Linked DNA regions of Coturnix japonica. The protein of the gene in region 1 purifies or fractionates together with the protein of each later gene. This does not show direct contact. Links are inferred from orthologs where the notes say so. Each region holds a gene or a part of one and is shown in the gene's direction. Other genes may lie near its edges.

Evidence for each region.
Region 2: the proteins of SMC3 (region 1) and NIPBL purify together in Homo sapiens (affinity purification with western blotting; 4 studies listed by BioGRID, with this or other methods). This does not show direct contact. The link is inferred for Coturnix japonica from reciprocal best matches to the Homo sapiens genes SMC3 and NIPBL.

The regions. Positions count from the first base shown.
Region 1 is NC_029521.1:22,933,679-22,938,604, forward strand, and holds the start of SMC3 (structural maintenance of chromosomes protein 3), read left to right. Parts: upstream 1-1,798; 5' UTR 1,799-1,999; coding exon 2,000-2,014; intron 2,015-4,027; coding exon 4,028-4,103; intron 4,104-4,748; coding exon 4,749-4,787; intron 4,788-4,926. UniProt on the Homo sapiens protein: Central component of cohesin, a complex required for chromosome cohesion during the cell cycle. The cohesin complex may form a large proteinaceous ring within which sister chromatids can be trapped.
Region 2 is NC_029547.1:10,336,107-10,341,311, forward strand, and holds the start of NIPBL (nipped-B-like protein), read left to right. Parts: upstream 1-2,037; 5' UTR 2,038-5,205. UniProt on the Homo sapiens protein: Plays an important role in the loading of the cohesin complex on to DNA. Forms a heterodimeric complex (also known as cohesin loading complex) with MAU2/SCC4 which mediates the loading of the cohesin complex onto chromatin.

The DNA.
Region 1 (4,926 bases):
CCTCCATCATGAGCTGCCTGCAGGCACTGCTCCAAAGTCCATTGACTGCAGCAGGAGGATGGCTCCCAGACACAGGGTGCTGGAACGAGCCCTAGATGAATTTTTATTTGATATCTGTATTTTAAGGAACTGTTTGCTCTACTTAGAGGTAGAATTGCTACTGCACTGGAACGGAATATTGAGGTCTACAGGACTAAAACTGGGACAACGGGTATATCCTATCTAATGTAACGCCTCCAGTCACGTTAAGTCAAGTTAACTGGAAAATCAATTGACATGAACTCCAGCATGACCATTAGCTGCTATCCAGCTGAGCCCAGAGAGCCTTGCCAAGAAGCAGCAGATTTCTAGCTGGGATAGAGCAGAGCTGTGCACATTCATCTCCTAGAGATGCTTCCCACCTGTGGTCTCCTAGGCAATGTTTGTGTTGCCCCGAGCAATTATCATGGCTAACAGACAGCACAGGGGTCAGGTGCTGTGGGCTGGACATGGGCTCTGCCCCTGGCTTTGGAGGGCAAGTGCTGTAGTTGGCTCTGTGCACCTCTGCTGGTACAGTTACTATTTGTTAAATCATAACAAAGTGAGGGAGACCTGAACTGACCACGCTGACCAAGAGGATCCCTACAGTACACATAAAAGGATTGTAGCAGGGAGCTGTTTTTTCCTCATCAAAGCTCCTTTCTCCTGCAGAGAATGTTACAGCTCTGCTGCTACAAAGCAGATCTTTGCTGTTGTGGCTCTGCTCATGCAAGAAGCCTTTTGCAGCTTGAGTGAACCTGGATTTCTTTCTAAGTCCTTCTTGCAGGTTTACCCGCATGTCTCTGCCTTCTATCAGGTATAGTGATATAGAGCTCAGTCTAAGAAATGCATATGGCTTTTTTCACATGTTTGCAATGAGCTTTTGGGCAAAGGATGTCCTAAACGGCGTCCAGGTGTGGAGCCCTCAGTACAAAAAAGACATGGAGATTTTGGAAAGGGTCCAGAGGAGGGACAGGAAGATGATCAGGGGGCTGGAGCACCTCCCCTATGAGGACAGGCTGAGGGAGTTGGGTTTGTTCAGCCTGGAGAAGAGAAGGTTGCGGGGTGACCTCATTGCAGCCTTTCAATACCTGAAGGGAACTTACTCCCAGGAGGGGAGTAAACTCTTCGAAAGGGCTGACAATAGCAGGACACGGGGAAATGGTTTTAAGTTAAAAGAGGGAAGATTTAGGTTGGATGTTAGGGGAAAGTTCTTCACTAGGAGAGTGGTTAGGCCCTGGAACAGGCTGCCCAGGGAGGTTGTGGATGCCCCGTCCTTGGAGGTGTTCAAGACCAGGTTGGACGGGGCCCTGGGCAACCTGATCTAGTAAAGGTGTATGTTTGGTGGCCCTGCCAGGCAGGGGGTTGGAACTACATGATCCTTGAGGTCCCTTCCAACCCGGGTCACTCTGTGATTCTGAGGCGGCCCCGACCGTGGCAGCGCCCCCTGCAGGCGGGAGGCTGCACTCCTCCCTGTCGGCGTTGCGGCCCCGCTCTGCTCACACTTGCCTTTGGCGCCCAACCCGCCCCCCAGCGGGAGAAACCACATTTCCGCGCTCTCTGGGGGGATTCGGTAGGTGAGGACGGGCGGTTTCGGACGGCTGCTTCGCCTTAGAGCTCCTTAAAAAGCTAAAGAGATATTGAAATCTGATAAAAAAGGCGATATTTTTAGTGTCTACTGCCTGGCGCCTTCTCCGGCCAGGGTGGGGTGAGATCTCTTCTCCGCTCTCCCCCTCCGCACTGTGCCGAGTGGTTCGCGCCGGGACGGGCAGGGGTGGCTCCGCCGCCATTTTGTTTCGTGAGGGGTGAGCGGGGCTCCGCGCCGAGCTCTGTGTGGCGGCCGGACGGGGCGGGAGGAGGCGGCAACGGGGGCCCGGAGTCGCTCGGAGCCGTCGTACCGGGAGGAGGCGGTCCGGGTGGGCTGCGAGACGGCAGCAGGAGGCGGCGGGGCGGCTGCCTCCCTCCCCCATCCTCGGCAGCCATGTACATCAAGCAGGTACGGCGGAGGGGCCTGCTGCGGCCTGCCCCGCTCCGGAGATAGAACGGGCCCGGCCCGGAGGGGAGGCGCGTGGCGGGGCCTTGCGGCCTCTGCTCGGGTGCTCGCGGGGCCCTTGGGCGGCGGTCCCGTGCTCCGTCGGCCGTTTCCATTCATTGCGGTGCGTGGTGGTGGAGCGAGGGCTGCGCTGCGGGCCCTGGGGACCTTCGGACGGGGCGACCACAGTGTCCCGGCCCTGCAGGGCACGGCCGGCCTGGACACTGTGCTGTTGGTGCTGGGGTGGAGCCTGGCCCGCCGAGCACTGACCATTCCAGCTGTGCGCTTCGTCCCTGACAAGCACCCAGCAGCTGATGTTCAGATAAATGAAGTCCTTGTGTGGGCCTTCTCCTAACAGTTTTTAAGGCTGTGACTCGCATTATTGTTGCTGTTAGCGTATCCCTGCACTAGTTATATATGCTGCACATCGCCGTCGAAGTTTTTGTCCTCGTTCTTACTGCTATCTCTGTACGTTCATCTGAAGCCTGCTAGGATTCTTACTTCTCTCTGCACTCAAAATTAATTAGGCCTTCTGACACCCATTGCGTATAATGCTTCAGACTATGTTTGGAAGCACACATTCTTCATGGAGATCAGGTTTTCATCAGTTGTTTGTCGACACGGGAGCGTTTGCAGATGCCTTTTGGTACTGTTTTAGTACACCTGTGTCACTGGTTCAGATGCATGTTTAATATATGATGCATGTTGCAGTACTTCAGATAAGAAAAAGCCCTACAGACTTTTTGAAAGCCATTGGTACCAAGGCAGAGCTTACTGTTACTGTGAGGATCTCCCATCTGGTAGATGGAGCCAGCCAGTACTTATAGGGTCAGGCGTCAGATCTTCTGTGAACAGCCACAGTGTTTGAGCAGTCATCAGCCAGTACACGGTCCCAAACTTGTGTTCTATACTTTGATCCATTAAATACTAATATCCTTGATTACTTCCAGTATGGTTACCTTATATCTAGACCTGAATACAGTGCAGGTCCAGAGTTTCATTTTGCTTTCTAAACTTACACTGTTAAGAAATCTCATAACATGTTTTGTTTTCTTCCTAGTTGCTAATTCTTCCTTTTTACGTTAGTTTTGATGGTGAAACGTCAGTGAGGTTTTAACAAGATCTTCTGGTGGTGAAATGCTAAGGAAGGGCACAGGGACTGAATGTCAGTTCTAGTCCATTTTGAAGTGGTCTTCCTAAAAGATCTGCAGCTTTTCAGGCGGCTGTTATTCAGATGTCACATTGTTATATATGTCAGATTGAGGAAAGCTGATGCAGAGTCCTTTCAGCACAGCTTTGATGATTGAAAAGGGCTGATTAATGCTGAGCTGTGCTGGAAGCCGGATCAGTTTTGCTGCTGCATGGAACTAAAGTATTCAGATACAGTCATTCTAGACTAAAATTGGATAGTTGTACTTATAGACTAGTGTTTGCTGTGTAGCTCTTTAGCTAAATTCATTGTGTAGGTTGTATATGTTTGTTTAGGAAGCAAATTCAACAGAACCAATATTTCTGCCTTTCACTTTCTTTGTGTTACTGTGCAGCCTAAAGAAAAAACAAGTCTGTCTTGCTCCTAGGTCTTGCTTTGACCTAGATATGTGCCAGTATCTTTTTTGAGCAGAGAGAAAAAATCTCAGTTCATAAAATGATGCTTAGGTGGAGGCCAAGTCTCATAATACAAGATACTGGTCTTGAGCTTGAGAGCTGACAGGATTAGGGAAAAGACATCAAGTGTATCAAGTGGTCTTGGAGGTGTTCAAGGCCAGGTTGGACGGGGCCCTGGGCAACCTGATCTAGTAAATGTGTATGTTTGGTGGCCCTGCCAGGCAGGGGGGTTGGAACTACATGATCCTTGAGGTCCCTTCCAACCCGGGTCATTCTGTGATTCTGTATCATAAGTGATGTGAATGTTGTGTAATATCTTGAGGTTTAAAAAGTGCTTAAGAGCAGAGGTAATTCTGTCGCTTTACTCCATAGGTAATCATTCAGGGCTTTCGAAGCTACCGAGACCAAACCATTGTGGATCCATTCAGCTCAAAACACAATGTCATTGGTGAGTTCCAATATCTGTTTTTTCACACTAATTAAAATTGCATCAGATCATGGTCAAATGAGTCCTTAACTGTTTATATTCTTCCTATGTTTGATTACTTTGTAATTTCTGCACTGGAAGCTTTTTTACAGTTGTCTGTTAATTTTACAAGGCATATTACAGCATGTTTATGGCAAAGCAATCTAGTGTTCATTTTTACTGTGACCTCAGAGTGATTCCATAGGAACTGAGTGAGAAGTGAACTGTGAGCACCTTTGTATGTATAGATGTCCATACTGGACAGTCCTCATTTAAGAGACTGGGCTTTTTGAAGTAACTCCTGATAATCTCAGATATGTGAGGGGATGAGTGAAGCTGAAGGGCTTTGGAGGCAATACGGTAGCAATGATTGATGCAGAGAACATGAAAAGCCTTGGATGTTTCATTGCTAGAAGGGAAGCTGTTCTGAACTTATACAGTCAATATTGGTCTTAAAGATGAGACACTGAGCCTTTACTAAAACATCAGAATATTCTTAAACCTTTATTTTTTTTTAATAGAAATCATATTTTTCTGGTCTGTTTAAAACAAAACATTTCTGAATTAGCATGTGGGTTGTTCATTGATTTCAATTTGTGGCTATATACTTTGTGTTTTAATTTTCAGTGGGAAGAAATGGATCAGGAAAAAGCAACTTCTTTTATGGTAAGGAGTGATTTTTTTTATATAATATTAGGATAAAGGCAATAGTAGTGGCTTCTTTTTTGTTTTGTGTTGAGGTTGATCATCCAAATGTTCTTCAAGGTGTGGTTGTGACTTGACAGAGATGATAGTCAGTTTCTCT
Region 2 (5,205 bases), on another chromosome or scaffold:
TACTGATGCTCTTTCACTGTAGTTAAGATTTGTAAACAGTTCCCACTTATCTGTAACCTTTAAGATAACCATACATGCTTGTCCTCTTATTTCTCATAATGTGTACCTTTTATGTCAAGATTTTCTATTCTGTTCTTATCTATAAGTGATGTTTAGGGAACTTAAAGGAAAACTTGTAGATATTTTAAAGAAGCAGGAAGGCAAAAACATTATTATTAACGTTAAAAATTGGAATTTAAATGCATCCTTTTGCAAAAAAAAAAAAAATTGTATTTTTTTTCATGACTAGATTATTGTGACTAGATTTTTAAGCTATGGCTATTTGAAAGTTCCATGTTAACCATTTCTAAAAAATACATTCTTCTCTCAGTCTTTGTGTTTTTCCCCCTGCAGCAGTTGCATCACCTAGGCAGAGGCATTTGTCTGTAGGTAATTGCATTGTAAAAGTCTAGGCAGCTTTTCCAAGTCATTAATTCAGTTTTCTGGACCATCTATCAAAATTTAAAACAAACAAACACAAAACAAAGGCTTTCTGCTTTAGAATGTACAACACTGGAAGTCTGTGAGAAATTAAATCTGTGACAAACTAATACTGCTTTCTGGGCCACTAATGAAGCACCCACATGTCTTCTGAAGTGGTCACCAGACCGAGCAGATGAACCAATGTTTGTCCCTGTGGGCACACTGGGAATCAAGTTGCTAATATATGTCCAGTTACAAAATTGAGTCATTCCCCTTGTCCCCTTGTCCCCATTCTTTTCTCTTCTGCATTGGAGAAAGAATTTATAAGAGGAATAGTCAGTGCTTGGAAGATACCTAGTGATGTTTTACTTATCTGTATTCCTTTTCTGTGTTTAGCTTAAAAACAATTACATTTTGCAAGTTATTTTTCAGTTGAAATTTATGTTAACATCCACAGTTTAAAGGGATGCAGAAATTCCCTTTATTTGTTTTATTGCAGTGTGTGGTTTCTGCTTTCATTCTGTGATATCCCTTCATAAAAGCTGCGAGATATCTGAGAAAGGGACATGCTTCTACTTAGAAGGCTATTTTGCCACCGTACAGGATTATTTAAGATGTCTTCGCATAAACTAATATCTAACATGATTGCCAAATTCCAGTCAACTTTCCTTTGTGAAGTGTTGCTGTTAAAAAATTGGATTTTTGTTTCAATAAAGAACTAATTGGAAATATTTAGGTGATTTGTCTATAGGTGGGGGACCACAGCTACTTGTCTGTATTCTAGTTCATCACTTCAAGGAGACTGCATTAACTCTGTGTCTAAAATGTTATGTAAATGGAACCACCACAAAATGCTCAGAAACTCTGGAAATAATTTGTCTAAAAATTGCATGTTAGTGTTTGAACGGACTTTGGCACAGGCTAAATGCATACTAGCTTGCACTCTCCCAGACAATTCCTGGGCACAGTTTGGAAATCAGTGTGAGTCAGGAACCATTACCGATGGGCAGCAGAGGCATGTGACTATATTATTTTGAATCATTAGGAGTTTAATAATGTAGGCATGAGACATTATGCTGTCAGTAGCCTTAATGCCAGACAACAGTCCCAAGTGTTTTTAACCTATGAGTTTAAGTGTATCCATTGAATATGTTGGCTGAGATAGCACTTCACTATCTGAGGAGTGGAAATTTCTCCGTTGATTTGAAGGAGCAGTTCTTAGAGGCCTAAACCCAAGAGCTCTTTTAAAATATGTGATTTAGATAATAATCTTTCTTAAATCTTCTTTTTACTGACAAGTTCATTAAAAAGGGAGCAGTAAGGCATTTTAAGTGTGATATTCTCACATTTCTTTAATCCATGCAAGTGTGGCTTTCAGCTTGTGCTGAACACAACAGTCCTTTAGGCCAATTTTTAACTTCTGTCCTTTGCCAGAAGATGAATGTCCACATTCACTTGCTGGCCATGAAGCTATATTGGTTCACCTTTATACCTTTTTAAAAATTAGAAAAAAATTAAAAAGAATTTTTAAAAAAGCTTGCTTTTCTCTTTCTTCAGGTTTCAGATTTCTTCCAATGATGATGTACAGTAACTAACCATTTTTACAAAAACAGCTTTTGCTTTGTTTATTCATATGACCCTTATACAACAGATCTGGGACAGATTAAGCAGAGTAATCCATCACTGATTTTCATTCTATTTTACTGTATCTTTCATTCTTACATGTTATAGGCTAAATTACATGTTATATATTATCTGTATTGAATAATTGGTAAATTATTCAGAATCTCAAGTTCTTTGAACAAACAAACTGACCATAAAATACCAGGGTTACATCTTCTATCACTTTTCCTTCAAAGAGAACCGTGGTTGGTTTTTTTCAAAAGATCTGTTATAAGATGCATAACCTATCCCTACACAATGAAAAGCATTAATATAGTATTTGTGTTAGAAGTTTGGAGTGAGGGGAAAAAATGGTTACTTCTGTCTGGCTTACCAAAAAGGAAAAAAGATAAAGACAGTGACCACTTAGTAAACTTGCAGCAACTACTTGTATAAATATTTTACACCTCAGTCTGCATGCTTCCTTGGATTTTTATTTTACCTGTATCACTGATTATGAATGCCATTACCTGACATTCAGACTGCTTACTTCTCAAGATGAGTATTCCCCAATGGATTAATTAAATGCTGCTATTATTTGCTCCTGTGAACTAAAGTTAATGAAAAGAACGTAACTCTGCATTACTTTGCATGCTGCATTCATAATTACATTAATCCTACTCTATTCTGTAGCCCAACCTTAGCAGCATTTTTCCAACAGCTTGAGTACTTGAGTTTAGGACAACAGCTAACAATTACATATTGCATTAATATAATGAGTTATCAACATTTTATAGGAAAGTTTCTTTCAACTACATGAGAAACGTACAGCCATGGAATCATGGAGTCATGGAATGGCTTAGGTTGAAAGGACCACCTAGTTCCAGCCTCCCTGCCGTAAGCAGGGACACTTTCCACTATATCAGGTTGTTCAAAGCCATTTATTAAAAAACAGCAACAACAAAACAAGAAAAAGCAATAAACAAATATATATCTGTGCAATAAAAATCTGTACAATAAATCTGCACAGAAATTCATACTGCTTGTAAATTACTAACAGGTAAACACAATCTTTGCGCATTCTGTTAATTACTTAAGAGGACATGCTACTGTATGTTAACCAGCCTTTAAAGAAAGCAAAATGTGGAGAAGTACAATATATTTTTCATTCATTCTAGAAAAAAAAATAATAAAAAAAATCAAATCTCAACGAGCAATTGTTAAGAAAATATTGGTTCTGGGTGTTTTTTTCACTGTAATATTACATACTGTCTATAATTTTTGAAGCTGAATAAAAACATGTAGCTGTCAGGAACTTTTACATCACATGAGGAGGGAAGAGTCCTCTCCCCTGTTTTAAACAGTGTTCAAACAGGTAATGTCTTTGCAAGCAGAAAGCCATAAAAAGCAGCAAGAATGGTAGATGTTTTGGTGGAAAGTGTTTGAGAAATATGTTTTGAATTCAATACTGTCTGCACGAAGGTATTAATTCCTGCCTTTTAAAGTTACATTAAAATTACTGAATTATGTGTTCTCTTTAAAGAACAAGAAATGAGACTCAGAATAACTGGCTGTGCAAATACTTCATTTTTATGGGAGCTCAATCATTTGTTTAGAGAAAAAATAAAACACATTCTCTCTTGACTTCAAAGGGAGCAGATTAGGCGGTAGCATTACCCTAAAATTTGCAGTTCATTTTCACAACTATATAGGTGTGGACTTCTCAGAGGAATTTAAAGAGCCTTGCCCTGCTCTACACTGCCACCAGCTTTGTTTAGTGCAATGTACATTCCTTAATGTGCCACAGTCACGGTTGTGTGACTGCATAGCTCCTCCCATACAGATTAGGACTACCTCCACCCCATGACTAAGGCCTGGAGCAGAAATAAGGTTTGAAGTATTTTTTGCTGTGCTTTCTGAAGTACTTGTTTGTACCCCATTTTGTGCCCAATTCACACAAAAAGAGATATAACTCATAAGTACTACAATATTTTCAGGACCCAGTGAGCATTCATTACATAGTAATTTGTTGTGAGTAGACTTTTGAAGACAAAGGAGATTCAGGAACACTTGTCTGAATGCAGCTGAGGAATCATTTTTAAAAGTGGATTACAGTAATATCTACTGGAATAGAACATATTTAACAGTTTAATTCCTTAAGGAAAAAAATGCTAATTTACTGACGTGTTACAATAACACTTTCTAAAACAATTAACAAATTAGTTGTTTCCTTGTGTAGGTAATAACATCATAATATTTAAACAAAATTCCAAAAGTTCTGTTAGTGAAAAAGGATTATAAAACCCTAAAATATTGCCAGTGATGTTCTCACTGGAAAATTCTGGCAGAAGCAGAAGCAGAACAGTCAGGTAGGTGTGTCTTACATGACGTTTCTACTGCCTAAACCATATTTGATATGGAAGATGCCTGGCATTTGAAAACAAGGAGTATTTACATTTTATTTACATGGTAAATCAATTAAGAAAAAAAAATATATAAATCAATAAAATCATATAAGCACTCCAACAACATGAAATATTTACAGTAAGGTGGAAGTAGATTGAAGGTAACCCGTCTGCAGCCTTGCCCTTTTAGACTCAAATTTTCCTTTGAATTCACATTTAAGTTGACATAATACATGTATGTAGCCTCGAAATAGGTAGATTTTAAAATTCATCTTAAAAAAAAAAAATTATATATTTTCCCCCTCATCTTGCAGAGTTGCTCTGTATTAAATAAAGCATGAAGATTTATGAACATGCTTCATCTGCTAAACTAATTATTAAAAATGGATAATTTGAAATTATAAATGCACAAACAGTTGTAGGGTTGGGGCCTTTTATGTTGACATATAACAAAGACATGTAATTAATAGATTTCTTTCAGAATCTGGTTTACTTTGTTTCCTTTAAACCCATTAGGTTGAATTACGGTGTTCTCCAGTGCTGTCTTCATTTTTGTACTTTGAAACAAATACACTTGTAAAACAAACTTTGATTAATCCAACAGAACAATTTAGTAGTGAAGCTTGAGCAAGACTTGAAATCTGCCTTAAAGATGGAGCATTGATCAGGAAATTGTTTGGACTTGGAGAGATTCAAGTTGCTTGGTGTAAGATATTATATCTTTGTGCAAATTATA